Linked DNA regions of Callithrix jacchus. The protein of the gene in region 1 purifies or fractionates together with the protein of each later gene. This does not show direct contact. Links are inferred from orthologs where the notes say so. Each region holds a gene or a part of one and is shown in the gene's direction. Other genes may lie near its edges.

The links.
Region 2: the proteins of RBBP4 (region 1) and EP300 purify together in Homo sapiens (affinity purification with mass spectrometry; 4 studies listed by BioGRID, with this or other methods). This does not show direct contact. The link is inferred for Callithrix jacchus from reciprocal best matches to the Homo sapiens genes RBBP4 and EP300.
Region 3: the proteins of RBBP4 (region 1) and CBX5 purify together in Homo sapiens (affinity purification with mass spectrometry; 6 studies listed by BioGRID and IntAct, with this or other methods). This does not show direct contact. The link is inferred for Callithrix jacchus from reciprocal best matches to the Homo sapiens genes RBBP4 and CBX5.
Region 4: the proteins of RBBP4 (region 1) and BRMS1L purify together in Homo sapiens (affinity purification with mass spectrometry; 5 studies listed by BioGRID and IntAct, with this or other methods). This does not show direct contact. The link is inferred for Callithrix jacchus from reciprocal best matches to the Homo sapiens genes RBBP4 and BRMS1L.
Region 5: the proteins of RBBP4 (region 1) and SIN3A purify together in Homo sapiens (affinity purification with mass spectrometry; 11 studies listed by BioGRID and IntAct, with this or other methods). This does not show direct contact. The link is inferred for Callithrix jacchus from reciprocal best matches to the Homo sapiens genes RBBP4 and SIN3A.
Region 6: the proteins of RBBP4 (region 1) and TRPS1 purify together in Homo sapiens (co-immunoprecipitation; 3 studies listed by BioGRID and IntAct, with this or other methods). This does not show direct contact. The link is inferred for Callithrix jacchus from reciprocal best matches to the Homo sapiens genes RBBP4 and TRPS1.
Region 7: the proteins of RBBP4 (region 1) and JARID2 purify together in Homo sapiens (affinity purification with mass spectrometry; 3 studies listed by BioGRID and IntAct, with this or other methods). This does not show direct contact. The link is inferred for Callithrix jacchus from reciprocal best matches to the Homo sapiens genes RBBP4 and JARID2.

Annotation. Positions count from the first base shown.
Region 1 is NC_133508.1:69,245,467-69,249,578, forward strand, and holds part of RBBP4 (histone-binding protein RBBP4), read left to right. Parts: intron 1-2,388; coding exon 2,389-2,534; intron 2,535-4,112. UniProt on the Homo sapiens protein: Core histone-binding subunit that may target chromatin assembly factors, chromatin remodeling factors and histone deacetylases to their histone substrates in a manner that is regulated by nucleosomal DNA.
Region 2 is NC_133502.1:191,898,268-191,902,909, forward strand, and holds the start of EP300 (histone acetyltransferase p300), read left to right. Parts: upstream 1-1,386; 5' UTR 1,387-2,611; coding exon 2,612-2,705; intron 2,706-4,642. UniProt on the Homo sapiens protein: Functions as a histone acetyltransferase and regulates transcription via chromatin remodeling. Acetylates all four core histones in nucleosomes. Histone acetylation gives an epigenetic tag for transcriptional activation.
Region 3 is NC_133510.1:65,269,758-65,274,388, forward strand, and holds the start of CBX5 (chromobox protein homolog 5), read left to right. Parts: upstream 1-1,651; 5' UTR 1,652-1,766; intron 1,767-4,631. Other genes in the region: HNRNPA1 (heterogeneous nuclear ribonucleoprotein A1), read right to left, coding at 1-2, 293-409, 968-982. UniProt on the Homo sapiens protein: Component of heterochromatin that recognizes and binds histone H3 tails methylated at 'Lys-9' (H3K9me), leading to epigenetic repression. In contrast, it is excluded from chromatin when 'Tyr-41' of histone H3 is phosphorylated (H3Y41ph).
Region 4 is NC_133509.1:70,446,841-70,449,666, forward strand, and holds the end of BRMS1L (breast cancer metastasis-suppressor 1-like protein), read left to right. Parts: intron 1-278; coding exon 279-396; 3' UTR 397-1,928; downstream 1,929-2,826. UniProt on the Homo sapiens protein: Involved in the histone deacetylase (HDAC1)-dependent transcriptional repression activity. When overexpressed in lung cancer cell line that lacks p53/TP53 expression, inhibits cell growth.
Region 5 is NC_133509.1:22,463,203-22,467,314, forward strand, and holds part of SIN3A (paired amphipathic helix protein Sin3a), read left to right. Parts: intron 1-2,311; coding exon 2,312-2,550; intron 2,551-3,916; coding exon 3,917-4,100; intron 4,101-4,112. UniProt on the Homo sapiens protein: Acts as a transcriptional repressor. Corepressor for REST. Interacts with MXI1 to repress MYC responsive genes and antagonize MYC oncogenic activities. Also interacts with MXD1-MAX heterodimers to repress transcription by tethering SIN3A to DNA.
Region 6 is NC_133517.1:81,803,786-81,807,897, forward strand, and holds part of TRPS1 (zinc finger transcription factor Trps1), read left to right. Parts: coding exon 1-821; intron 822-1,728; exon of another isoform or gene 1,729-1,866; intron 1,867-4,112. UniProt on the Homo sapiens protein: Transcriptional repressor. Binds specifically to GATA sequences and represses expression of GATA-regulated genes at selected sites and stages in vertebrate development. Regulates chondrocyte proliferation and differentiation.
Region 7 is NC_133505.1:15,205,873-15,209,719, reverse strand, and holds the end of JARID2 (protein Jumonji), read left to right. Parts: intron 1-1,264; coding exon 1,265-1,447; 3' UTR 1,448-3,223; downstream 3,224-3,847.

The DNA of each region.
Region 1 (4,112 bases):
AAATAAAAATAAAAAAAATAGAAAGACTAGCTAGGTTTAGAAAGCAAGAATTAAATACTTAATTCCCCAAGGCTGAAATCTGTACTATCATCTTAGTTTTTTGCTTTAGCAAATCCAGATAATGAGAATTGTTTCTTTGAGATGGAGGCTCTTGTTCCCAGGCTGGAGTGTAGGGACATGATCTCAGCTCACTGTAACCTCTGCCTCCTGGGTTCAAGCAATTAACCTGCCCAAGTAGCTGCCCAGCTATTCAGGAGGCTGAGGCAGGAGAATTGCCTGAACCCAGGAGGCAGAGGTTGCGGTGAGCCAAGATCGCGCCATTGCACTCCAGCCTGGGTAACAAGAGCGAAACTCCGTCTCAAAAAAAAAAAAAAAAAAAAAGACAGGACCTTGTTCTGTGGTCCAGACTGGGTTGCAGTGACACAATTAGAGTTCCCTGCAGCCTTGACCTCCTAGGCCAAGGGATCCCCCTGCCTTAGCCTCTGGAATAGTTGGGACTACAGGCACACACTACCATGCCTGGCTAAATTTTGAAAAAAATGTTTGCTGTGTTGCCCAGACAGTTCTTTAACTTCTGGGCTTTAATGATCCTTCCACTTTGACCTCCCCAAGTGCTGGGATTACAAGTATGAGCCACAGTGCCTGGCCCTATTTTTGTGTTTTAAGATGAGGGTTACAAATTACAAGCAAGCAGCTCTGATGCAGTGTTTACTTTGTGTGTTCTTTTTCTGGTGTTTATTCATATCCATTTCCCCCTTAAAAAAAAAAAAAAAGAAAAACTACAATTGTAGTTCTGTAGCGTTGTCCTCTCCTTCATTCTTCCTGTTCTTTTTCTAGCCTTCTATATGCAGGTAATTCCAATTTGCTGTTCATATCCCTCTTTTCATTTCTCTTTTTTTTTTTTTCATTTCTCTTTAAATTTATTTCACGGATCATAGGAAACAATCACTTCTGTTTTTTCAGTGTATGGTAGATGTTCTCAAAGCTTTGCTTGTCACATCTGTGCAGAATTCCTGTTGGTATCTTTAGACCTAACTTCTCCAGAGCTTTTCCTGATTTTTCTTCTGCTTGCTATTGTCTTCCCTGATGTATCTTACTGGCTTCCCCAATTAGACATATTGTAAATGAAATAATTCCTTCCATGAAGAGCTTACCCCAACTTTCTCTTCATATTGTTCCTATTTCTTTTTATCCTAATTGGCATTTGTTTTCCATTTTCTCTTTCTCCATTTTACAGGCAGTCAATTTATAAAGCTCAATGAATTCTGCTTGTGTAGCGTCTTTGCCATCTCTACCAGGGGTTCTCAAAATTTTATATGCATCATAATCAGTTGGCAGTATTGTGAAACATAGTTGTGCTCCGCCTTCTAGAGTTTCTGATTCAATGGGTCTGGAGTAGATGGGAGAATTAGCATTTCTAATAAGTTCCCAGATGGTGTGGATGCCCTTGGCCCAGTATGGAGTACAGAATGTCTTAAGATTGCATTCAGGACACTAAAAAGTAAGTTTTAATCGGCTTTCTCTCCCGGTGTGCTTTCCCATATCAAAAGTCAGATTGGGACTTCAGTATGCTTCTGTTACTTAGTAGCTGTGTGATCTTAGGCAAATTTTTTAATTTTCTCTTTCTCTCTTTTCTTTCTCTGTCACCCAGCCTGTAGTACAGTGGCACGATGTCCGCTCACTGCAACCTCTGCCTTCTGGGTTCAAGCCATTCTTATGCCTTGGCCTCCTGAGTAGCTGGGATTAGCCAGCTGAGGATTTTTAAAGGACAAAACTCATGTCTTAATCATCTTTGTACTTCCATAGCATTTGGAGCAATGTGTCTGTTGATTAGGTATTTAGTAAATACCTGAAAAATTGGTTTGCTTAATCTAATTTTCTCTTTTTCCTTTTTTCATTTTTTTCTTTGGATTTTCTTTACACCCTTTCCCCTTTTTTCCTTTTTAATGAAAGTTTTAGTAAACAAAATCATTAGCATACCCAACAATGGTTTTCTTAACCTCTAACCTATTGTAGTGAGTGAGTAGTTAATTCATATTTTATTCCATTAAACGTTTTACTTTTTCTCCAGAATAATTAAGTAGAAAATAAGGCCAGGCATGGTGGCTCTTGCCTGTAAACCCTGCACCTTGGGAGGCTGAGGTCAGTGGATCACTTGAGGCCAAGTGTGGCAGGTGCCTGTAGTCCCAGTTACTTGGGAGGCTGAGGCTGAGAACAGCTTGAACCCAAGAGCTGGAGGTTGCAGTGAGCCAAGATTGCACCACTCCATTCCAGCCCCGGGCGAAAAGTCCTGGTTGTAATAGTCCCTTTTACATAACATGTATATTGTTGACTTTGTGTTTTCTTGATGTTACTAATTTGAATAATGACTGTATATTGCTGTTACAGACCAGAAGGGAAAGATTTCAGCATTCATCGACTTGTGCTGGGAACACACACATCGGATGAACAAAACCATCTTGTGATAGCCAGTGTGCAACTCCCTAATGATGATGCTCAGTTTGATGCATCACACTACGACAGTGAGAAAGGAGGTAGGAATCTTAAAGGTGAAGGAAGTAAACATGTATGGGTCATATCTTTCATGTCTTTGAATTGTAAAAGTTATATATTTAGTTTGATAAAGTAATCTCCAACTTTAGAAATAATATTTAAGCTTGGGGGAAAGCCCGAGTTTGCAGTGGTAGAGTTGTAGATGTCAGAAGAAATACTTAACACATCCTTGGTTCTATACCTTTGCAATGAACTTTTCTCATCTGATGCTGGCGGAGGAAATTTCTATAATTGAAAGAAGCAAAAATATATATTATTGCTGTACATTAATTGGTAGTGTTTTTTGTTTGTCTGTTTTTTGTTCCTGAGATGGAGCCTCGCTCTGTCATCCTGACTTGTATGCAATGGCACGATCTCGGCTCACTGCAACCGCCATCTCCTAGGTTCAAGCAATTCTTTTAGTTCAGTGTCCCAAGTAGCTGGGATTATAAGTGCCCACGAACACGCCTGGCTCATTTTTGTTATTTTTAGTACAGATGGGGTTTCAGCATGTTGGTCAGGCTAGTCTCAAACTTGGGTGAGCCACTGCACCATCTTTATTTTATTTTATTTTTTAGAGTCTTGCTCTGTTTCCCGGGTTGGAGTGCAGTGGTGTGATCTCAGCTCACTGCAACCTCTGCCTCCCAGGTTTAAGCAATTCTTCTGCCTCAGCCTCCTGAGTAGCTGGGACTACAGAGGCCCGCCACCATGCTTGTGGTGTATTTTTGTATTTTTAGTAGAGATGGGGTTTCACCAAGTTGGAGAAGGTTGGTTTCGGAATTCCTGACCTCAGGTGATCCACTCTCCTCAGCCTCCCAAAGTGCTGATATTACAGATGTGAGTCACCACACCTAGCCATATTGCTGTACGGTTTTTTTTTTTTGTTTTTGAGACAGAGTTCCGCTCTTGTTACCCAGGCTGGAGTGCAATGGCACGATCTCGGCTCACCGCAACCTCCGCCTCCTGGGTTCAAGCAGTTCTCCTGCCTCAGCCTCCCGAGTAGCTGGGACTACAGGCGCACACCACCATGCCCAGCTAATTTTTGTATTTTTAGTAGAGACGGGGTTTCACTATGTTGACCAGGATGGTCTCAATCTCTTGACCTCGGCCTCCCAAAGTGCTGGGATTATAGATGTGAGCCACTGCGCCTAGCCTGCTGTACATTCTTAACATGGGAGATACTACCCCTAACGAGGTGAAAATTGGTTTGTGTATGTGTGAGAGTACATGTAAATCTTACTGGTTGATTGTGTAAAGCACAGATATGCACAGAGTACCTAGGATATCCATGGTATTTCATGGGCCAGGGCTAGTTCTTAAAACCCTTCTTAAAGGAGCATTAATAAAAAAAGAAAACGTTTGGAAACATTAACATAAATTACCCTTTCTAGGTTTAAAGTGGTAGAAATGACTTAACCATGGCACGTCCTATGTGTATAAAAATTTAACCTACAGGCTGGGCATAGTGGCTGACATCTGTAATCCCAGACGCCAATTACAGGCATGCGCCACCATGCCCGGCCAATATTTGTATTTTTAGGAGAGACGAGGTTTCACCATGTTGGTCAGGCTGGTCTCAA
Region 2 (4,642 bases), on another chromosome or scaffold:
ATCTGGGTTCAAGCGATTCTCCTGCCTCAGCCTCTGAGTAGCTGGTATTACAGGTGCGTGCCACCACACCAGGCTAATTTTTGTATTTTAGTAGAGGTGGCTTTTCATCATCTTGCCCAGGCTGGTCTTCAAATCCCAACCTCGTGATCCACCTGTCTTGGACTCCTAAAGTTCCTGGGATTACAGGTGTGAGCCACTGAGCCCAGCTTGAGAAAAAGCTTTAAACCATATCAATAGATAATAGTTTGTGAGTTTCTTTGGGGGTCACTTACACCCATACCACCTTCTCCAGTAACAATTTACACAAGGTCAAAACACAGGGTAATGTGTAGAAACCCGAAAGCATGTCTCCGACCTCAGCTGCAAAACTGCTGGGTCCCACACACTGGACTTTCCCCCCGTTACATTTTTGCTTTTTTCCATCCTTACCTTTACCACATTTTTGCTTTTTCCCATAATTACATTAGATAAGGCACTGGCTTGACGTGGTCTTTTATTAATTTGATCTATTGGGAGCAGACGGAAAAAAAAAAGAAAAAAGAAACCTAAAAATGTCTTCAGGTCCCAGGCGTGTTCAGAAAAGAAAGACTTCTGTGGTGAGAGTGCTACCTGGTAGGGGCGTATGGACGGACACACGTGGAGGGCAAGAAATGTTGGGTCTGGTGCCGAAACATCTTCCTTCCCACTGCTGTGATTTTTGTTTTCTGGTCAAAGTAATATATGCTCGTTGTGGAAAAAAAAAAAAAAAGGAAAATTCAGAGGAAATTGAAAACAACTCGTAATCAACGTGCTTTTTGGATGTGAACTACTCCCTTTGGGAAGCCAATGGAGAAGTGAGGATGCACTGGGTATTCGGCAGTGGGTACACCCTGGCTTATGGATTCGACCGGGGTTTGGGGGACCCGCCACTCAAAGGCCAGGAAGCAGGGCCGCCCCACGGGCGCTCCCCTTTGGCCATCTAAGTGGCGACTTGGCGTCTTCCTCGGCGCAGCTCCCGGGCTCAGTCGCCCAGGTTCCCACCGGTCCCCTACAAGAGACCAAAGCCAGGAACCTTCCCTCGTAACTATCGACCGACAGAAAATAGATTGAGTCCGCCCCCACCCCTCCCCCCTTAAAATCCTCTCCCCTCTTAAAAATCCTCCCCTTTAAAGGGAGCCACAGGGTGTCGCCGGGGGAGTTTGCGGAAGCGCTAACCGCGTTGGGGACTAGGGCGGATCCCGTGATTGGAACCGGCCCCGCCCCCGGCGCCACTTCCCCCATTGTGTGAGCGGCTCGGGCCTAGGCCCCGCCTCCCTTCGGAGGCCCGGCCCCTCCCCTTTTTCACCCCCCTCCTTTGGCTCATTTCCGGCCGCCGCCGCTACCGCTAGCCTGTAAGGAGGATTCGGCAGAGGGAAGAAACAACAGCCGCCATCTTGTTTGTGTGCTAGGTTGGGGGGGAGAGAGGCGAGAGGGAGCGGGCGAGAGTGGGCAAGCGGGACGCCGAGCTGAGTGCGAACTGCGGGAGCCAGAGAGTGCGGAGGGGATCCGGGACGGAGAGAGGCGGCTGGGGCCGAGACAGTGGCAGGGGGCCTGGGGCGCACGGGTTGAGGCGACCCCTAGCCCCCTCCCGTCCGCACACACCCCCACCGCGGCCCGGGAGCGGGGCCGGCGTCGACGCCTAGGGGGGACCATTACATAACCCCGCGCCCCGCGGCGCCTTCGCCCGCCGTCGCGGTCGGCCCCGAGCGGAGCCCCGGGGGGGCGGGCTCTCCCAGCACCTGGCCGCCGGCGGAGGGGACCGTAGCGGCGGCCGTATTTATTTATTTTCCGCGCGAGAGGAGGGCGAAGGAGAGAAGCGCGGCGCGAGGAGGGGCCGCCTGCGCCGCCGCCGGAGCGGGGCCTCCTCGGTGGGTTTGGCGTCGGCGCGGGCGGGCGGCGCTGCTCGGCCCGGCCCCCTCGGTCCTCTGGGCCGGCCAGCTCCGCGCCTGGCGTTCTTGCCGCGCCTCCGCCGGCCGCCGTGCGATGTGAGGCGGCGGCGCCAGCCTGGCTCTCGGCTCGGTTGAGCTCTCTGCGGCCATTAGGGGCCGGTGCGGCGGCGGCAGCGGCAGGAGGAGGGTTCGGAGGGTGGGGGCGCAGGCCCGGGAGGGGGCACCGGGAGGAGGTGAGTGTCTCTCGTCGCCTCCTCCTCTCCCCCCTTTTCGCCCCCGCCTCCTTGTGGCGATGAGAAGGAGGAGGACAGCGCCGAGGAGGAAGAGGCTGATGGCGGCGGCGGAGCTCCGAGAGACCTCGGCTGGGCAGGGGCCGGCCGTGGCGGGCCGGGGACTGCGCCTCTAGAGCCGCGAGTTCTCGGGAATTCGCCGCAGCAGACGCGCTCGGTGAATTTGTGCTCCTGTGCCCTCCTCCGGGCTTGGGCCCAGGCCCGGCCCCTAGCACTTGCCCCTACCTTTTCTATCGAGTCCGCATCCCTCTCCAGCCACTGCGACCCGGCGAAGAGAAAAAGGAACTTCCCCCACCCCCTCGGGTGCCGTCGGAGCCCCCCAGCCCACCCCTGGGTGCGGGGCGGGGACCCCGGGCCGAAGAGATTTCCTGAGGATTCTGGTTTTCCTCGCCTGTATCTCCGAAAGAATTAAAAATGGCCGAGAATGTGGTGGAACCGGGGCCGCCTTCAGCCAAGCGGCCTAAACTCTCATCTCCGGCCCTCTCGGCGTCGGCCAGCGATGGCACAGGTTAGTTTCGGCAGCCCCGGCCTTCCACGTTCCTCTTAATCTTTTCTACTCGGTGCTCCTTTATTCCATTTTTTTTTTTTCCTCTCTCCCTGTCCCTTAATTAATTTTAAAGGTATTTGAATGAGCTGATCGAAGACGTCCAGTAGCCCAACCATTTTCTTTGCCTCCTAATACATTGGTTGCAACACTGTGTCATATCGGTGTGTGTTCTGGAATTAGAGCTCGTAAGTGGGTGCTGTATAGAAATGGCCTGTATTGTTGCTCCCGTGCAGTTTAATTTGGGAAATGCCAGTGCATTTATGAGTAAGAGCTTCTATGCAATTTAAGTTTTAATTTTTTTTGTTCTTGGTAAATGAAGAATTTCGAATCCTTTCTCCTCATTGTACTTACTCTATTTTCTCTACTTTCCACCCTTTTCAAAATTTTCTCTCCTTTGCAGAATATTTTCTGTTAAATAGGATGTAAAAACTTGATTTTTGTGTGTGCGAGGTCCAAGATTTCAGATTAGAAGCGAAGTTTAACAATTGTTTTGTCTTACCTACCCTTCTTAGCTTTTTCCCCCTGCTTTTTCTTATTTGCTGTAAGAATCAATATGGAGTGCAGTTCATCTCACATCTTCCAGTTTTGGTGTGAGACCAAAATGTCTGAAACTCTGGATTTTCAGGTTGTGAGAACAGGGTCATGTTCTTTGTAGTTTGCATTCACTTTATCATTTTAGGAGGAAGAAAAAAGATAAACAATTTTGTGGAGTTATGTACCTGAAAATCAACGTTAGAAGTTGAAAGAGTTCCAGTCAGGAACTACGAACATGAACTGATTATACAAAAGTTTAAAATGTGCATTAGCTTTGGTGTTTTTGTGTTTGTCTTTTTACACTTTTAAACACATTTGGAGATCAAGATTTTTATTTAAAAGCTTTCCGGATTCTTCAGTTCATTCAGTTGTGGACCAGCCCCTTTGTCAGAGAAGTTCAGGGAGACTTCTTCCATCATCCCCTTCATTCTCTTCTTACAGTTAGTTTAATGGTGTTATCCTGATGGGCGAGGACCTTTTCTTTGCTGGAATAATGAAGATGAAGAATGGCTGGCCATCTGACAGCCCACAAGATGTTCCCCTTTACTACGGAGCATCTCTTTAACTCCCTGAGAACAGGCTCAACGTCATCCTTCCATCTGCCAGTGAGAGTGCATAATGGAGTTAAATGTACCCTTTGAGTTTGTAGAGAACTTGGAGAACATGTTTCTAAGTAGGCTTCATTTCAGAGTGAATATGGAAAGACGGAACAAATGCTTTGAATTCGTTGCTTTTATAAGAAAGATGTAAAATGAATTTCAGTTAACCTGCAACAATTGGGAAATAGGAATCTTGCAGAGTTCCTCTATTTAAGGCTTGTAACACTGATTATGCATGTACTTTGATCTGTACCTATTCTATGAAGGTACTGTAGTCTCCAAGGATATTTTTTAGCTGTTTTTTTTCTTCAAAATTCACGCACATAGACGCACATCATTGTATTCCTTTGCACCTACGAAAGTGCCATTCAGAAGGATTTTTTAGATCATCTTTACACACTTATTCACCTGTAGATTTTTGTGGTGTTCCTTTAGTGTTTGTGAAATGTGGTACTTTTTGCATTTTAGTTTTGGTGTAATGTCATGGAGTTTACGTTGGAGTTAGCCAGAGACTTGGAAAGTAGGGGAAGCTTTTTAATACACTTTACCTTGATGAGTCCTGATTTGAGCGGCTTCATCTTGGAGCTGTATTGTTTAACTGCTTATGTTCAGGTGTGCTACTGCTTTCTTCATATCTGGTCTGTTTTGCTACTTGCAATATGTTTGAATAATTACAAAAGTTCTAAATGTATCAAGTGGGCTTTTGTAGTTTTAAAAAAATCCCTCAACATTGAGATTGATTAATTCATTGGTAATACTAAAAGT
Region 3 (4,631 bases), on another chromosome or scaffold:
ACCTGAGAACAGTGTTAATTCATGTAACAAAGTCTGACCCCAAAAACTTTTGTAATTTTAACTTTGAACAAGGGAATAGGAAACTTTATACCAGCCCTGTACAAAAACCCCTCCAGTTTCCCACTATCCTAGGTTTAAGAGGTAACTCTATCAAACAAAGCAGGACTTTCCTTCGTCAACAAGGCTCTAGCTATAATACTACTAACAACCTTCCTAAGTATTCAGAGAGAACCGCCCCAAGATAAACCAAGGAAATCCACTATTTTACTGTTTGGTCCCTTCCAATTCTTACCACACAGTCTGTGAGCGTTCCCCATTGCTCAAAATGGCTCCTGAGGCTCTCATCGGTTGTTTCAAAGCTCAACCCTCCAATGAAGAGCTTCCTCAGCTGTTCCGGCTCTTTAGGAGACTACAGTGGGGGAGGCGGAAGTGTTAAATGAGCTGTAACACCAAACAATTTCCATCGAGGAAAATCAAAACTAGACAACTGTGTATGTAGCACTTATTGTTCGTTCAGATTGCAACAAGCCATGTGCTTCTCTCTAACAGGGGAGAAGGTATGTTGGGGGTTGGGAGTGCTGCGAAATCCAAAGCGCATGCGTCCCTAGTCGCCTTCCGACGCACGCGCAACAAAGGCTTAGGCGGGAGGGGTACATCGCCAAAATGGGACTAATCGCTCTTTTAAAAACTCGCTCACCAAAGCAAGGTTTAGAAAAGGAAAAGCCTTATGTGCGTAAGAATTTTTGCTAAGACTATAGAGTGCTGCATAATAACTCATGATTGGCGCGAGCGGCCTCATGGCGATCAACAGGACAAAATGGCGACTTGAACTTTGGGAGGGGTAGGCCGTGGCAGCAACCTAAAAAACTGTAGAATGGGCTGGTGAAAGGAACGAAACCAAGCCGCATCTTACCAATTCAGGAAAGGAAGAGGAAGAAATTCAAGTTGGAAAGAGCGCCTAACTCACCTCTGACTTAGACATGATCGCGGGGAGAAGAGAGACTTTAACGATGCTGCTTCGGCGGCGTCCACGGGCAGAAAGGAGCAAACTGACGAACGTATCTGCCAGCCTACCTTCGGCCTTTCTTTTTTACCCCGCCTCCTCCCTTTCAGCATTGGTACACTCCGCCCTTGAACAGTTCTGATTGGATGTGTGAAATCTCTTCCCCCTACTATTGGCCTGTGGTGCCACACTGCTGTGTAACGTCATTCCTTTGGGCGGTCTACGCCCTCTCCACCCCTTGGAGTTCATTGGTTCCCGAGTAATATTATTCTTAACCAGTCTGATTGGCCAGCCGATAAATCATTCATATTTGAATATACCTTGGGTGTTTAACGCCTTTTTAATCTTCCCCGCACAAATATTACGCTTGGCAAAGCATGATTAACACTATGTGTCAGAAAAGCAGTTAGCCAGCAGGTCAAAATTTTGACTGCTTGTTGAGCGCACGTGTAGTAAAATGGCGAGTTTTGCGCAGGCGCATTAAGAACTTCCAGCAGCCTCTGGGAACACGTGAAATGGCGGGCAGTACTAGGCAGTGACCCTACGGCGCCTGCGTATTGGCGGGAGTTGGTTCCAGCTTTGCGCATGCGTGGTGGGCGGAGAAAGGGTCCGTTCCCGGATTGGTTGCGCAGGCGCAGGGAAGGATCCGTTTTGGCGGGCGGTTGGCGTTGCGCAGAAGGTGGTGGCGGTGGTGGCTTGCGTTGCGGCCTCACCATACAGCAACAGGGCAGACGTTAGCGTGAGTGATCACTCTCAATCCCGGGTAAGTGGCAGACAGTCTTCTCTACCCATCGTAGGTCTCGAACTGACTCTATTTGGGCCCGTTATTGTGTGAAATGAATGGACCGCGGGGTGGGGGATAGTGAAAGGGCAGCGGTGGGTCGGGCCAACCAATAGAAGAACAGGGGGCGGGATGTTTTAATCCCTGTAGGTTCTTTGGAGCGGTGCAGCTGAAGACTTTGACTGGCTTGCGTATACGCCAATTGGGTCTGCCTTGAGCTGCCGACTGATGGGCCCTTGGGGCCATCGGAATGTGGGAGACGGGTTTCCCCTCCTGAGCTGCGTCTCACTGAGCCAGTAAGCGCGAAGCGCGCGGTAGGTTGGGCTTCTCCAGGAGGCAGCGGTTTGACTCCAATGGGGAATGCGGGAGTCGGGCGGTTAAACTGATGGACCGAATCTGGAGCCAGTAGACGGACAGCCTAAGGAAAGTGCTCGGACCAGTCGTCCAATCGACTCCAGAAGAGGGAGGTCTTCGATTTGGGGTTGTGAGGAAGGGGAGTCGGTGAATGTAATGGCGTGTGAGGGTGAATGTTTTATCCACAGTGACTTCTCTAAGGAAGCCTTTAGGCCTCTGTCCCATAAACCTCCTTGAAAGCGTAAGTTTGCTCCTGGCTGCCTCGACTTGACATTTTCCCCCCCACCTCCTCACCACTTGAGGTTTGGAGAACAGGGGAGGGTTTTGTTGTTGTTAAGTAATACTTTGAGAAGTCGCTTCTTTAGGAAGCTGTTAAAATGTTAGAACGAATAGGAAAAATCACAACATACTGTCATGGAAAGGCGTTCGAGAAATATTTCTTTCCTAATAGTGCATATTTCTGAACTAATATGTTGTAGGTCTAATAAAAAAGTTTCGGAAAGCTACACCCTAAAGTGTGTCAATCCTAGGGACACAGTAGGATCGAGGCAAGTTGGATCTTTAATGTTTAAAACTTTGCAGGGTTAATGATCTGTGATTAAAACTAAATAAAAAATGAAGTCAGTTGTTTTGTGTTTCTAGTCATAATCACATACCACCCCTTTTCTGTTTTATATAATCCATGTACCCAGTGCTTTTATTTTAGTCTCTTTCTCCCGGGAACTTTTCCCGCTCATGTTTCCCCTTTCTTCACACCATTAAAGATATCCTAAAGCCCCTCTTTTTGCTGTTCCTTTGAGAATATCTGACTTTGAAATAAAAAGGAAACTGCTTAAAGAGGGTAATATTTAGAGTTCTAGGGAAAGAAGACTCATCCATCACCTGGATTATTCCTTGCTTTTTTATTAGATTTTCTTCCAAGTGTATTTTGCATGCAGTCTATCTCCTTTTGGTAATACCCACTCTGCTTATTCCAGGATCTTTTGGAGAAATAAATCAATTTTCATAACATTGGCTGTATCAGAGTCTTACTGTTTTATTCACTGATTTATTCAGGATCGAGGGAAAATATTTACTGAAAATCAACTACCTATGAAGTACACTTACGATTAGAGACCTTTCTGACTTTACCAAAGACAAACAATTTTAGTGAAGTTTATGAACATTGGAGAGATTTCCATGTTCTCTGGCAGTAGCAAAAGGACATATTTATAATTTATATCTGACTTTAAACCTATTTGCAGGTATTCTAGTAATGGAGTTATTGAGCTGAGAACTAACTAAAGTGATACAGGTTAAGGATATCTGTCCTGGATTTATTTACGTTTGAAAGTAATACAGTCTTGAATTATAGCAAGGTTTCTCAGCCTTAGCACTGTTGATATTTTGAGGCAGACAATTATTTGTTGAGGAGGCTCAGGGTGTCCTGTGCATAGTGAAATATTTAGCAGCATCCCTGGCCTCTACCCAGTGTATTCTAGTAGCGTCACCCCACTCGCTACATCCGCATTGGTGACAATCAGAATGTCTCCAAACATTGCCAAATGTCCAGGGAGGTAGGGGCGAGGGTAGAATCTCCCAGTTGAAAACCATTGATCTAGAATACTGGAGTATGCGGGGGCACAGTTTTGTGTTCCTGTAGTCCCAGCTACTCTGGAAGCTGACACGGAGGCAGGAGGCTTGAGCTCAGGAAGTCAAGGTGTGAGATGATTATGCCTGTGAATAGCCGCTATACTCCAGTCTGGGCAGTACAGCAACACCCTATTGCTAAAACAGAAATAAAATGCTAGAGTTTATTATCTTTTCAAAATCCATTATTTTAGCAACTGGTAAGTAGGTAAAGGTGGGAGAAGATTGTTGAAGTGTTTTTGTTTTTTAAGACCAAGTTTTGCTCTTGTTGCCCAGGATGCAGTGCAATGTTATGATCTCAGCTCACTGCATCCTCTACCTCACAGGTTCAAGTGATTTTCCTGCCTCAGCCTCCCGAGTAGCTGGGATTACAGGCACGCACTACCACACCTGGCTAATTTTGTATTTTTAGTAGAGATAGGGTTTCTCCATGTTGGTCAGGCTGGTTTTGAACTCCTGACCTCAGGTGGTCCCCCCACCTCAGCTTCCCAAAGTTCTGGGATTATAGACGTGAACCACCATGCCTTGTGGATGGTTGAAGTGTTTAGGGAGTGGCCTTTGGTAAATGGATGACTAAATCCTGATGTTTATCTCCTTAGGACATAGAATTGATTATTGTCCTACTTGATAAAAGAAAAATTTCTTTAAAATTATTACCACTTCTTGGCCTGGCTGCAGTGGCTTACGTCTGTAATCCTGCCACTTTGGGAGGCTGAGGTGGGTGGATCATTTGAGGCCAGGAGTTTGAGACCAGCCTGGACAACATGGTAAAACCTATCTCTCTACTAAAAATATACTAATTAGGTGTGGTGGTGAGTGCCTGTAATCTCAGCTACTCGGGAGGCTGAGACAGGGAAATGGCTT
Region 4 (2,826 bases), on another chromosome or scaffold:
TTTTTTTTTTTTGAGAGATGGGGTGGGGATGGAATAGGAAGGACGTGCATTTAATAGTTCAAATGGAAAGTAAATTTTACCAACTCTATTAAGAAGTGTTGTTGAATGTGCTATTTTTGGCAGCACGCACTGCTGATATGCAGCATTCTGCTAAAGACAATTATGTACATACTGAGTCTACTGTTGTAGGCCAGGTTATTTTGGTTTTATAGGTAATCTAAAATGAATTGAGGAGACATATTGTAATTCATTCATTCATTCTTTTTTTTTCTTTTTAGTGCTGTAATTACAACAATTAACCATGATGAAGTTTGGTTTAAGAGGCCTGATGGAAGCAAATCTAAGCTTTACATTTCACAGCTGCAGAAAGGAAAATATTCAATTAAACATTCGTAATCATGATTTAAGTGTTATCTAAATTTACCTTATTAGTGTTACCAAGCGTAATGTGCCATGAGAGTAAAAAAATGTATTCAATAATTTAATATTCTCGCTGAATCATGAGAGAATGTGTATTGTAGGTAGTACTCTTAAGTAGATCTCATTGATATGTTATTAAAAGAAAACAAAAATTTTATCATGATCCTTATATTGATTTGCCTCTTAGGTCTGATGACCAATAAGTATACTGTATATGGTAGGGGTTTCTTTCTAAGCATTTTTCTTTGGTTTTTAAAAAAGTTATGCAAATTTGTCTTTAGTAAACTATGACTACATTTATCTGCAATTTAAAAAATTTTCCATATCTTTGTCATTCATTGTGTGTTTGTAAATAAGACATAAAATGTTTCCTATAAATGGTTTGTACTAGTACATTAATGTTAAATCAGAACTGAAATTTAAACATATATATATATGAGTATACACACACACACACACACATACACACACACACACATATACACACACACATATATATATGAGGATGTATATATAGCATCATCACCTTATTTAGAACTGATGGCCTTACCTTACAATCTTGTTTTACCCAAAATTAAGCTATTGGGTTTGAAAGCTGAAAGGAGCACTTTTGTAGAATAGCAACTTTTCTTTTCCTCTCCTTGATTGTATGGTGGGGTGGTGACCTATTTTTACAAATTGTACTTAATGAGTAAAATTAGTGTCAAGTGATAACATGCTTCTACCTGTATTTCTGGTGACCCTTTAGAGGCAGGTATTTATACCTGGTATTTATGATGCAGTGTATAAGTGGTGAACAGTAACTGACAGTATTGTGGTGCTTGCTGTACATGTCTGATCTTTTGAAACAGATTTTAGTAAGCATTTTCCAGAGGTAAAACTACACCCTTATTCTAATTTTATTCCTAGGGAAAATAGGGATCATTTCCTTGAATCTATTTCCAAATTAATATTTTTGTCTTTGGTATTTCTACACTTTAAGGCCATTTGGTGCAATTTAGAAAGTGTTAGCCTCCCTTCCCTTAGCCACATTTAAAATTAACTTCCAAAACCTCAGGAACAGTAAAAAGAATAAAGCCCTCAATATAGCAGCACAATTGGCTGTTGTATATATTTAGGGTACAACCAAATCAAGTATTCCTGGTGGTCATGTGCACTTTAATTTCTGTTACATTGGGAGTTAAGAGGATGAAGAAGAAATCTACTTATTAACACTTACTGCAGGAATATCTGCATTATTCCTTTTTTTAAATTATTTTACCTCTGCAAACATCCTGTGCAGATCACTACTTCACAGTTGCCAAATTTTAAAACACTTAACTTCTGAAATTCAGTATCAGCAAAGTTATATTACTTTATTCTGTTTCTAATTAACCTTAACAAATGTACATAATGTCATAACCCAATAGTATTTGACAGTACTTATGTATACAATGTTTGATAAGCATTTTTAATAAGATTTGTATTTTTAAATTTAGTATATAATAAAAAGATGTGTTTGAGTGTGATTTGTAGTGTCTTGGATTACTTATGTGTATTTAGTTCTTTTTATAACCTGTCCACTTCTAAGAAAGATTTGAATAGGTTTACATTAGTAGATATTGAGTGGGCCAAGTGCACTGGCTCATACCTGTAATCCCAGCACTTTTGGGGGTGTATTTAGATGTTCAAGACAGTTAAGTTATACTTAATTAAAAAATATATGCATGTATGTTGTACTCTGATTACAATGTACTGTATAAGTTTTGGAATTCTAAATAGAAAATCTTTTTTTAAATTTTTAGTTTTTGATATGGAGTCTCTCTCTGTCACCCAGGTTAGAGTGCAGTGATGGTCTTGGCTTACTGCAACCTCTGCCTCCCAGGTTCAAGTGATTCTCCTGCCTTAGCCTCCTGAGTAGCTGGGATTACAGGCAGGTGCCACCAGGCTCAAGTCATTTTTTAATTTTTAGTAGAGACAGGGTTTTGCCAGGCTGGTTTTGAACTCCTGACCTCAGGTGATTCGCCCACTTCAGCCTCCCAAAGTGCTGGGATTACAGGCATGAGCCACCATGCCCGGCCTAGAAAATCTTTATTTTAAAACTATGATTTAGTACATTTACTTTCAAAACTTTAGTATTTCTATCATGTGTACTAGTCTGTAATATTAAGATTCAGAAAAGCATATGCTTATCTATGATTAAAATGCTATAAAATATGTATTTTTTTGTTGGTGTTTTGCCATTAGACGTCTGGTCATAAAGTTTAATTTAGGAAAAAGAAACTCCAAAATGTGATGTAGTAGCTGCTGCTGATCCTGTGTTATGATCAGCCTCTGTCTCAGGATCAATTTCTGGACTTTTATTGTCACAGCTCCTAGTTTTTCACATTCAATCCATCCCCTCCGGCTGTTTCCCATTTTTAAAAA
Region 5 (4,112 bases), on another chromosome or scaffold:
TTTTAGTGGAGATGGGTTTCACCATGTTGACCAGGCTGATCTCGACTCCTGACCTCAAGTGACCCACCCGCCTTGGCCTCCCAAAGTGGTGGGATTACAAGCTGGAGCCACTGTGCCTGTCGCAGGGACTTTATTTTGAAGCAGTTGGGAAGAGTGGAGGTAGTAGAGGGCCTCATACCACTATATCAGGAGCAAGACTACTGAAAGTAGGCTCAAAATCCCTAGTGTGTCTATATGTCTAGTTTACATTATCATTATCAAAAATGGAAGTCTAGTTTCTAAAGAGGTAAAATGACATGTATCCTATTTAGTGTGTCTGTTACATTAAATTGACTGGCTGTGCTTATTTGTGTGGACAGGTATCTTGCTAGTGTTTTTTTTTTTTTTTTTTAATACTCTTAGCTCTTTGCCAGTTTTCCCTTGTCACACTTGCTTCAGCTGTTTCTGGTGTGTTTTTAATGAACAGCCACATGCTGCCTCACCACTGGCAGGTGGTTGGCCATCTTTGCCCCAGCATTTATAAGGAGTTGCAGCTATTTGCAGAAAACTAAATCATGACAGATTTTAACTTCCATAGGAGTATTACCAAACTAAAGAAGACATTTCTTTGTTATTTATATTTAGTAGGGTTAGCTGATGAGTTAGGAGAGCTTGGCATCTGTTTTTGACAGAATGTTCCCATCCTTTCTCAACTGGTATGCCTGCAAATGAGAGGCAGCCTCATTTCTCATTTGTGACTACAAGGGCAAAGATGAAAGAAGTGTGGGGTGTCCATGTGTTTAAGATTTGATGGGGTGGGCTAGTTTGAAGGAACATGCTTTACCAATCATAAATAGGTTAGTAATGCTTCAGTACAGACAATTCCCACATTTGAGTGACTTGTAAAACCATTGGGTTTAATTTCTAATCATTCTACGTGTACGTTGGTGTTTAGCAGGGGATTTGGCGTGTCTGAATCACAGGGGACCCAGGCCAAGGGATTGCCACCATCATGAATGTTGCCAGTTACTAGAAGGAAAAGAAAGCCCAGAAAGATCTCTTACCTTTAAATGCTCCAGCCTAGAAGTAATAAACATTACTTTTACTCAACTCATAACAAATCATTTGCCAGAACTAGTTACATGACCCTATTCATTCATAAGGGAGCCAGGAAATTTAGTCCCTTTTTGTCTGTATTTGGAGAGCAAGAGGGGCCAGAACTATTGACAAAATGACTACCAGAGTCTCAAAACAAGAAAACGTAGGGAACAATTCTGCAAACATTTGGCTGTAGGTTCTTGAGACTGCTCATTTACTTCTTTTTTTTCTTCTTCTTTGATACGGAGTCTAGCTCTGTCACCAGGCTGGAGTGCAGTGGTGTGATCTCAGCTCACTGTCGCCTCTGCCTCCCAGGTTCAAGTGATTCTCCTGCCTCAGCCTCCCGAGTAGCTGGATTTACAGGCACGCGCCACCATGCCCAACTAATTTTTGTATTTTGAGATGGGTTTTACCATGTTGGCCAGGATCGTCTTAATCTCCTAACCTCATAATCCACCAACCTTGGCCTCCCAAAGTACTCGGATTACAGACGTGAGCCACCGCACCTGGCCCATTTACTTCATTTTCTGTTTCTCATTTAAAGAACCTTATTTTATGCTAGGGAAAAACTAGAATCAAAGGTTGCCAGGAGTTCAATAAGAATTTAAATGATTACCCACAGATGCAACAGCAAACTCCTTAGGGTATGATAGTCACTGCTTTTACTATTACTGGATGCAGAACAAGGCTATTGAATATTTAAGTATTTGAATATATTTAAATATTTCAAGTTAAACCTAAAAACTCTCAAGACAGAGGTCTTTTGGGATTGTTTTGATGATGTTTGTTCATAATGGATCTTAGCAATTCAGGAAAGTTCAGAGAAACGTATCAGTAAAGTCATCTCCTGTTAGGTTCCTCTGGTGCAAGATCAGTAGTCCTAAGCAAGGCACACACTGGTGGTGATGGAGGTAATAACTACCATGTATCCAACTTAATCCTATGGTTCTTTTTTTTTTCTGCTTTGTAGACTACTGACTCAGTCCTATGGTTCTTAAAGTGCCATGCATTGTGCTAAATACTTTATGTAGATTATATCATTTAATCCAAAAAGAAGCTTATTAGAGTAATAGGTGCTGTTATCCCTATTTTACTGGTAAGGAAACAGCCTTATGCAGCTAGTAAGGCAGAACCAGGATTCAAATCCAAGGAGTTCAACTCCCTACCTTATTCGTCTAACCACTATATTCTATTCTGATTTGGGTCCTAAGCATACCTTTGTCTTCCTCTTCAGCTTGATGTAGTTTTAGAAACCAATCTGGCAACAATCCGGGTTCTGGAAGCAATACAGAAGAAGCTTTCCCGCTTGTCTGCTGAGGAACAAGCCAAATTTCGCTTGGACAACACCCTTGGGGGCACATCAGAAGTCATCCATAGAAAAGCACTCCAGAGGATATATGCTGATAAAGCAGCTGACATCATTGATGGTCTGAGAAAGAATCCTTCCATCGCTGTCCCAATTGTCCTTAAAAGGTACCTGAGCAAATGTGCCCTCGGTGCTTTAGTGTACTTCACTACTGTGTCAGTGTCCCACTAAATAAGGCTCTTGTTTTCAACCTGGTTGTCCCATGAGACCGCTCTTTCTCCCCAGCCCTGGTTGTTGGAATTTACATGCAGAGTGGAACTTCTTTTGGGGGTTCTTTGTGACCAACGTTAGAGAACAAATCTTGTAGGTTCATGGTGGAAGGCTCTGTGTATATGTTTGAGGGAGTATTTTAAAATACAGAAAAGAAAAGATAATTGCCACCCATGTTCCTGCCACTCAGGATTAACTTAAAATCTTTTTTATTTTTAATTAATTTTTTTTTTTTTTTTTGAGACAAGGTCTCCACTTTTTGACCCAGGCTGGAATGCAGTGGTGTGAACACAGCTCACTGCAGCCTTGACTTCCCAGGCTCAAGTGATCCTCCTACCTCAGGGTAGGAGGGATCTGGGACTACAGGCCTGCGCCACCACATACCCAGCTAATTGTTAATTTTGTTAAATACAGACAGGGTCTTGCTATGTTTCCCAGGCTGACCTCTAACTCCTGGGCTCGAGCAATCCTCCTGCTTTGGCCTCCCCAAAGTGCTGGGATTATAGCACAGGCCACAGTATGCCCAGCCCTATGTCATTCTTGACCACACTGAATCCTTTGCTGTGAGCTTGGTTCTCTCTAAGTATCATCTGGTAAAAATTAATTCTTGTTTGCTGCATTGTTGACAAATACCCAGATTTTATTTGTCCTTCATCTTTCCCTCAAGAGCTGGCACAGATTGATGGTTTCTTTTTGCCTGTAACATTTAACTCTGGCTTTTGAGATGTTGATTATTCTTCCATTTTAGTGCTGTTTTTTTGGTCTTAGTCTGTTGTCTTCTGGGTTATTAAAATCAGTTCTGGTCAGAACTTTCCAGACTGTATCCAGAGGAACATTACTGTGCACGTTCTCTGCTCTTGGACTTCTATGTCTTCATTAGCATTGTGAACATTTTGCAAAATCCTGCAGCAAAGAAACATGTTTAACTTTATTTTTGCTGGCAAAAGAAGAGAACTGTTTTTTTCAAGGAAGACTTCCTTAAATCTCAAAGGTATTCCTTGGAATGCTGTTTGATAAGTAACTGTTCTAGGGAAATTATTTGACTGAGATAAATCATTTCCCCAAAATAAGTCTTGGATGAGTAATTTCCTCATGAAACAGAGTTCAAGACAGATTTGATAACATTCATCCTAAGTTGCCAATAATTTTGACAGACCTAATATAGCTTTAACTTTTCTTGAAATAAAGTAAACCTGGCAGATTTCTTTGTTCTAAACCCTCTGAATTCCCATATGTTGTTTCCATCCCTTCCCACTTCACTAGGTTGAAGATGAAAGAGGAAGAATGGCGAGAAGCTCAGAGAGGCTTTAACAAAGTATGGCGAGAACAAAATGAGAAATACTACTTGAAGTCTCTGGACCACCAGGGTATCAACTTTAAACAGAATGACACCAAGGTCCTGAGGTCTAAGAGCTTACTCAATGAGATTGAGAGTATCTACGATGAGGTGAGCTGGGGT
Region 6 (4,112 bases), on another chromosome or scaffold:
TACTCAGTGCCCATCAAGCCCCTCGATTCCTCGAGACAAAATGGTACAGAGGCCACCAGTTACTACTGGTGTAAATTTTGTAGTTTCAGCTGTGAGTCATCTAGCTCACTTAAACTGCTAGAACATTATGGCAAGCAGCATGGAGCAGTGCAGTCAGGCGGCCTTAATCCAGAGTTGAATGATAAGCTTTCCAGGGGCTCTGTCATTAATCAGAATGATCTAGCCAAAAGTTCAGAAGGAGAGACAATGATCAAGGCAGACAAGAGTTCGAGTGGGGCTAAAAAGAAGGACTTCTCCAGCAAGGGAGCTGAGGATAATATGGTAACGAGCTATAATTGTCAGTTCTGTGACTTCCGATATTCCAAAAGCCATGGCTCCGATGTAATTGTAGTGGGGCCACTTCTCCGTCATTATCAACAGCTCCATAACATTCACAAGTGTACCATTAAACACTGTCCATTCTGTCCCAGAGGACTTTGCAGCCCAGAAAAGCACCTTGGAGAAATTACTTATCCCTTTGCTTGTAGAAAAAGTAATTGTTCCCACTGTGCGCTCTTGCTTCTGCATTTGTCTCCTGGGGCGGCCGGAAGCTCGAGAGTCAAACACCAGTGCCACCAGTGTTCATTCACCACCCCTGATGTAGACATACTCCTCTTTCACTATGAGAGCGTGCATGAGTCCCAAGCGTCGGATGTCAAACAAGAAGCAAATCACCTGCAAGGATCAGATGGGCAGCAGGCTGTCAAGGAAAGCAAAGAACACTCATGTACCAAATGTGATTTTATTACCCAGGTGGAAGAAGAGATTTCCCGACACTACAGGTAAGTCATAGGAGGGTGGGAGGGATATAGAAACAAAATAATAGAAGAAATCCACAGAAAGGTGGCTGAACTAGGAGCTGTTGGGAGTGATTCTGATGACTTGGGGAAGTTATAAGAGAAGACCACATAGAAGATCATCAGAGATTTGCAGGTGATATAGTTATAGCTGTGATCACTATAGATTTTTATTTGGTTCCTTCTTTAGGACTATGCTCTTGTGTTTCATACTTGTTTTATACCATTTACTGATTGTATTTTTAAATTCACAGTGATTCTAATAATGCTGATGAGTTTACCAATTTACCATAGTCTATTTATTTGTCCTTATTAAATGTGACTCCACATGCTATATTTTTTGACAGAGCAGCTCCCAAGTTAGAGATTCTATTATAAATATATCCTATTCTCTATTCTGAGAAAAAATTTTGAGAAAGCGTTGCTCATTTTTATTTTAAAATGAGATTATATATTCTTCTAGCTTTGAATAATCCTGCAACATCCTTATTTGGTATGCAAACAGTAATCTAAAGATGAGAATTTTTGTAATATTTGTGATTTGGGATGTACACTTGCCCCTCCAAGCAGGTAAAACTGCTTAAGTTATTCAAGATTCTGGAATGGATGTGGGACATGTTTGTGTTTTCCTTCTGTGTTCACCCTATTCTCTTTATAAACATTAACTTTCTCAGTTAATATTTTATAATTTAAGATAAGTATAGGATATGCATTTTTATTTCATTTATGTACCCATTCCTTAATTAATTAATTTCAAAAATCCTATTGTATGAGGCATTGAATATGCAAGAGAAAACATAGTCAGTGACCTCATGGAACGTACAGTTTAATAGGGAAGATGAGACACTTAGATGGTTACAAGAATAGTAAGTGTTATAAAAGATGAAGTACAAGCTTTGTGCAGTGGCAGTATCGTAGCCAATGTTTATCTGAGGGACGATTATTGCTAATTGAAAACTTTTCCCAATACCCCGCCATGACGACTTGCAATACAGTCGGCGTCGACAATTTTTGACAGTCTGTATAGGGAATGAATATTAAAAAAAAAAAAAGACGAAGTACAAGGCAGTGTGTTTGAATATAATGATAACATAACCGAATAGGGTGGATTAGGAAATGCCTTCCTGAGCAGGGAGCATTTAAACTGAGAGTTGGTTATAAATAGGAATTAGTTCATCAAAACAGTGGTGGTACCCTGCTTTCAGGTATTATTTACTGCTCATTAGGTACTTTCTCATTATTATGCCTCTGGGCATCAAAGTAGAAAGCTTTACTTACTGTGTCAATATCACTCTAAAAAAATCTATTCACTTCAATTTTTACATCCCAGGATATTTAGACAGTTTCTTCCATTCCTTTTAAAAGCTGAGTGTTAGTGCGAGTGTGTATGTTGTTTCAGTCACCAGTAATGGAGCAGTTCATGTCCAACAATAGGCTAATAACATGGAATGTTAATTTGAAGGGCATCCCAATGTTCACAGTGAATCAAAATGTTCAGAAAACACTTACTTGAGATTTACACTGTTTAATTTATAAGGTCAGCCCTGGGAAAGACACAGTCCTGCAATCAAATATGTGTTCACACTTGCAATGAGTGTTTCTGGCTCCTCTGATGTTAGCTGCATGTTAATTTGTTTCTGAGGCTCGCAGACATCAGCTGCTTTCTGAGCTTTACTAGTGTGGATATGTGCGCATGTGCACATTGTGCATGTACATTTATTGAGTGATATAAAAATCAGATAGTTCATTCTTTTTACAGCTTTTTTTTTTTGAGAAATCATGATTTTCTTTAATCATGAGGAAACCAGCCAGAACATATATACATTATGGACCTACACACCCACATGCATGCACACACACACACACACACACACACATTCTGATACATCTAGCTACCAGAACATTTGGACAAGTTATTTTTCTATTGATGCAGCTGAGGCATTTCTTGAGAATCTGTCTGGGAAAACAGGGTTTTCACATGCTTTAGGTAAACAAACTAATCATCCAAGAAATAAAAGTATGAATAAGACTATTACTGAATAATGTCCAAATTTAGTTAATATTCAGTGATGAAAGTAAGCTCCAGAGAAAAGAGAAGTATTCTTTTCTTGTTCATCACTGTATCTGCACAATTTAGCACAGTGGCAGGATGCCTAATGGGAGCTCAGTGAATATCTTTATGTAAATGAGATCCCTGTGAGTTTTTGGTTTCACAGTAGTTATGAATAAGCTGAAATTTCCAAGGTGAGTTACATTTTAATCCTTCACTATTATATGATCTTGGAACCCTTCTGAGGACCTAGGCTTCTATACCAAATGACAGTTGTCTGTTCATTTTGAATGTAAGTGAACTTCTCAGCATTTTATTAGCTAAAATGTTAAATAGCACTTGTCCCTAGGGCATTAAAATATTCTTACACTTATGTTTAAATCCTGATGTAGTTGTCTGACCAGAGATCCTTTAAGGTGCTGAGTAGTTTATCTCTAATCTGTTTATGAGTTATTACAGAGATATTTGAAATTTGGAGCCTTACAATTTCAGAAGTCACAGCTTAGTAAAAAAGATAAAGAAACTCCACTGAAAGCTGAACAGTAATGGTAGACCCAGAGATGTGAAAGGACATAGTCACATGGATGTTTAGAACTTGATCTGCTATCAAAGCATTTTTCAAAAATGCCCCATTTTAAGATAGAATAAGAGGACAAGTTTACCTTATCACATATTATCTTTATAATTAAATTTGTTGACTCAGATTATTCATGTTGGGAAACTTCTGCCATGGTTCTGTGTTATTGTGAAATATGCTATGCTTTTGAGTGCTTTATATAGAAGACTTAAGAGTATAGTAAAAATTAGCATAAGCCATGAACGGTATAATATGTGAAATCCTTTAGCTATAAAATGACTATAGCTGAGAGGCAGAAGAGTTGGTCTAGAGCTGAGTGAAAATCTCAGTATCGATTCCATTGCATGGGTGTTTTCTTTTTAAGAACTAAGTTAAACATGGTGGAACTGCAAGCATGATCTAGTCAGCAACGGATTTGGTCCATTCTCTTAATTTTTAGTATTTACTTATAATACCTCAAACTCCTATTATGACTGAGTTATTATATTTCACTAATGAGTGGCTTGCTCACTGCATTTCTTTTATTATGTATCATTTAATTCGACTGTGTACCCGTTCTCTATTGACTGTTATTTTTCTTATCAAAATTTTCAGTGTTATAACATTTTTGGTAGAAGTAGGAGTGTTACTTCCCTACAAAACAGCTGTA
Region 7 (3,847 bases), on another chromosome or scaffold:
TCCTAGTGTACCCAGCACACAAATCGCCCAGGTCCATGCCTACTGACTTGCGATAGTCTGCTTTAAACACCCCACTTTGTGTGGTTGTGAACCTAGATTGCAAATCCCTGAGCTCATGGCTTGGGTTCTCATGGACCATGAGGCTGCCTGTGGAGTTTGGAGCCATTTGTGCCCCCGGCCCTTGCAGGCTAGCTGAGCAGGGAGGGTCCAGTGAGTGGGGTGTTGGGCGGCCGCTGCCAGGCCTGCTGTGAGGGCACTGGTCTGAGGCAGGTGCTGTCCATCTAGCGAGCTGCACACAGAAGGGGGAATGCTGCCCTCTTGTAACTGCACACCCCAGCTCCTCCTCATGGTCAGGTAGCTGTAGCCCTCTAAGTGGGTTTTAAGGCAGCTCATCCACTTATCCGTTAACAGTGTTTATCATCAGTCCCTCAAGCGGTCAGGGTCACAGCTATTGTGTTATTACAGATATGTGGCCCACCTCTTCCGAGGACACCTTTAACTTCTTTGTGATGGGAGCCAGCTGTCACTGTTTTCCACCCTCATCTCCGGGGCTTTCCAGAGGGCTGGGGATCACACCCTCAGAAGTTCCCTTCCATGGCTGGCTTCCTCCCTGCTGGGCTTAGTGTGGTTCCCAGACACCCCTGGCCCAGAGAGATGCTCGTGAGATGCACGTTTGCTACTCCTCCCCTTGTTCTTTTCAAAAAATGGGATGATAGGATGTACTGTGTGAAAGTTACACAGTTTTGGTGCCGACAGATAACCGATTCTCTCGGGTGAATTGCAGGGATGCCGTTTTTGTTTGCTGCAGATAACAGAAGAGGAAGTAGTAGAAATATGTATAGGTGACAAGTGTTTGCATTTATTTGCATGAGCAGGTTAAGTGGCTGGTAGCTAAAGTGAGTCAAGCAGCTTGGTTATTTGTGTCACCATCCAGGACGCAACAAACCCCCGGGGGTCTCTTTGCTGAGTGCTCCCCTGCCAGCCTTGCCCTTATGAGCTGGTTAACCCACCTCGGAAACCATAGTGGACACCAGGGTGGTGGTGGCGAGGATGAAAGGGCCGTGCATGCAATGTGGCATCCGGCGGAGCTGAGAAAGGGAGATGTGCTGCCTCTTGAGCCTCTTCGGGGCATTTTAAAAGCTGTTAGTTGGTGTGGTGGAGGGGACCCCTGGCCACTGATCTCTGCCCTAGACCTGCCCCTGCGTGACTCTCAGGGACAGAGCTCTTGTTATTAATTCTGTGTCTTCCTCTCACCCCCAAACAGGAACAGATTATCAGTCTGGTCAATCAGATCTGCGGCAAAGTGTCTGGTAAAAACGGCAGCATTGAGAACTGTCTCAGTAAACCCACACCAAAAAGAGGCCCCCGAAAGAGAGCCACGGTGGACGTGCCCCCCTCCCGGCTGTCAGCCTCCGGTTCATCCAAAAGTGCTTCGAGCTCATCATGAAGATGCCAACGCCCGTGGTTGATTTATATATATTTTTTTGTAATTATTATATTCTAGTTTGGAGTACTTGCTGTAGGATTCAAGCTGTCTTTGCACTAGCTCTAAAGAAGATTTTCTTCTGGTTTTAGAGAACTAATTTTGTTTTAGCATTAAACTGTTGAACTTTTTTTTGTACTTAGAAAACCTAGATACTGCAGTCAGATTTTGGAAACTGCCGTATAGTCACTGTTTTAAAAACCCTTGAGGGGCTGTATTAATTTGTATTGCCCCTGGCTGACAAAAGCCTTTTTTGTTTCTTTTTTTTTTTTTTGTAACTGTTGGGGGAAAAAAGGCTTTTTAACCCATTTTTGAAGAGGGTGAAGTTTGGAGAACAAATTTAAAAACCATCAGTCATGTGAGCAGATTTTTTAGAAGGGATAGGAGACACGCACGCGCGCGTGTACACACACACACACACACACAAAACTTGAAAAGAAATGGCTTTGCTTTGGCTGTCGTTGTCTGCCGTGGCCAGATGAGCTTGTGAGCTGGGAAGCCAGGGCACCCCCGTTTTGTTTCTCTGGGCGGTTGTGGCAGCTGAAGGCAGACGTTGTTTCCTGACCACAGGCGGAACGAGGAGCCGGGAGCGAGTGGGCTCTCCACCAGCACATCACTATGCATCTGTTCAAGGAAGGAAGGAACGCCAGCAAGGAAGACGGAAGAGACTGCCTGCCTTGGAGGGGTCACGTGAGGGAGACCTGTGCCTGATTTCATTAGGAAATCCATTCTGTTATTTTTTGGTGCTGTTGGCTACTTTATCAAAAAACCCTTCAATAGCATCCTTAAGATATTAAAAAAAAAAAAAAAAAAAAAAAAAAAAAGTGATGGAAGCCGTAAGTGCTTCTTGGTCATCGACGTGCAATCTTCTAACATTCCATCACCATCTCACCGCTTCTTGTTTGACACCTTCACAAGTCAGCATTAATCTTGCTTTTTAAATTTTTCATTTATGATCACCCATAGAGAGCCACTAGGAGGCCTGCAGTTCTTTTTGAATGTGAAAATGCATTTGCGCTCATCTTGTCTATTTTTTCTCTTCATGTTGTAACAAAAAGGAAAAAAAAGAAAAAAAAAAAATCCCATCCCTTTTGTACATACGCCTGTAAATTGTTTTAAATACTTGAGCCTTTTTCTCGGTGGGGGGTGGGGAGGGGGAGAGAAGACAAGATGAAGAAAAGCCTTACATTTCAGTTTCTTCATCGGTTGGATTGGATGCTTACAGGGTTTTTCTTGTAACATTTATAAGTGCTGCTTACATCACTGAACAACAACAACAAAATAATGGAGTAGCTGTTGCCCTTCTCCAGTTGTGTGTACAGTATGTGTGGAATAAAAAAGGGAAACTTTTCACAAGCTGTTCTTTGTTTCATAATTGGATCCATCAATCCGTAGCTACCCATGTTGCACTGAGCTTGCCAGTGGTGACTGCCAGGAGCGTCCTCTGATCCACTTTGTTGGTTGTTGTTGCAGAAGACTGAACTGTTTTGGAATATTTAACAATTACAGAACCAGAGTCGTGTTTTCCAATGTGGTTGTCCGGTTTCTATGGCCTTGCTGTGTACTTTCCCTCTTTTTGACAGTAAACTTCTGCCTATGGCTTACAGTTTGACATTTAATTTATTAGCGCTGCTCTGCACCCTCCCTTGGGGGGAGACTTCATGTGGTTTATTGCGAGTTTTTTGTTTACTTTTCAGGTTTGTACTACAAGGTTTAATAATAAAATCAACGTTTTTTGGACATTTGTCTGTCTTGTGGAAGATGACTGAATGGAATGAGCTCTCTCTCTTCTCATCCATGGGCAGGGGTGCAGAGGATCTCTCATGCTGCAGTCCTGCCCCTCCAGCTCCCACCTGCTGGTGGCGGGGGGGGGGTCCCCTTTCAGCAGAACCTAATGGTTTCCATGTGGCCCAGCCCGCGGGGCCAGAGCTGGCCACAGGCTGCAGCCATTCCACCTCATCTCCCATTGAGCGTGGCACCCCTGCTGAGCTTCCATGATGAGATGACACTGGGCACATTGAGGGTGTTATGGCTCATCTCAATGGGGCATCTGTCCTCCCTCTCGTTGGGCTGGAGGAGTGATAGACGGAACATATCACCAGGGGACCAGTTTCTTTTCAGGAGAAAGCAGGTATGGAGGATTGCTTTGGGCTTCTGTTCTTTTGGGCCCTGGGGTGTGAAAGTAGGGTTTGGACAGGTTGGCTATCATACTGATCAAAGGAAAACCCCCTATGAAATGGCTGTTCCCTGCCTCACGCAGAAGTGAGCCCGGTGTAGCCTCCACAGCCTGGCCCAGGCCCTGCCCCCATGCTACCTCCTGGGGCAGCCCCCAGTGACCTGCCCCCTTACAGTGGCCTTAAGGAG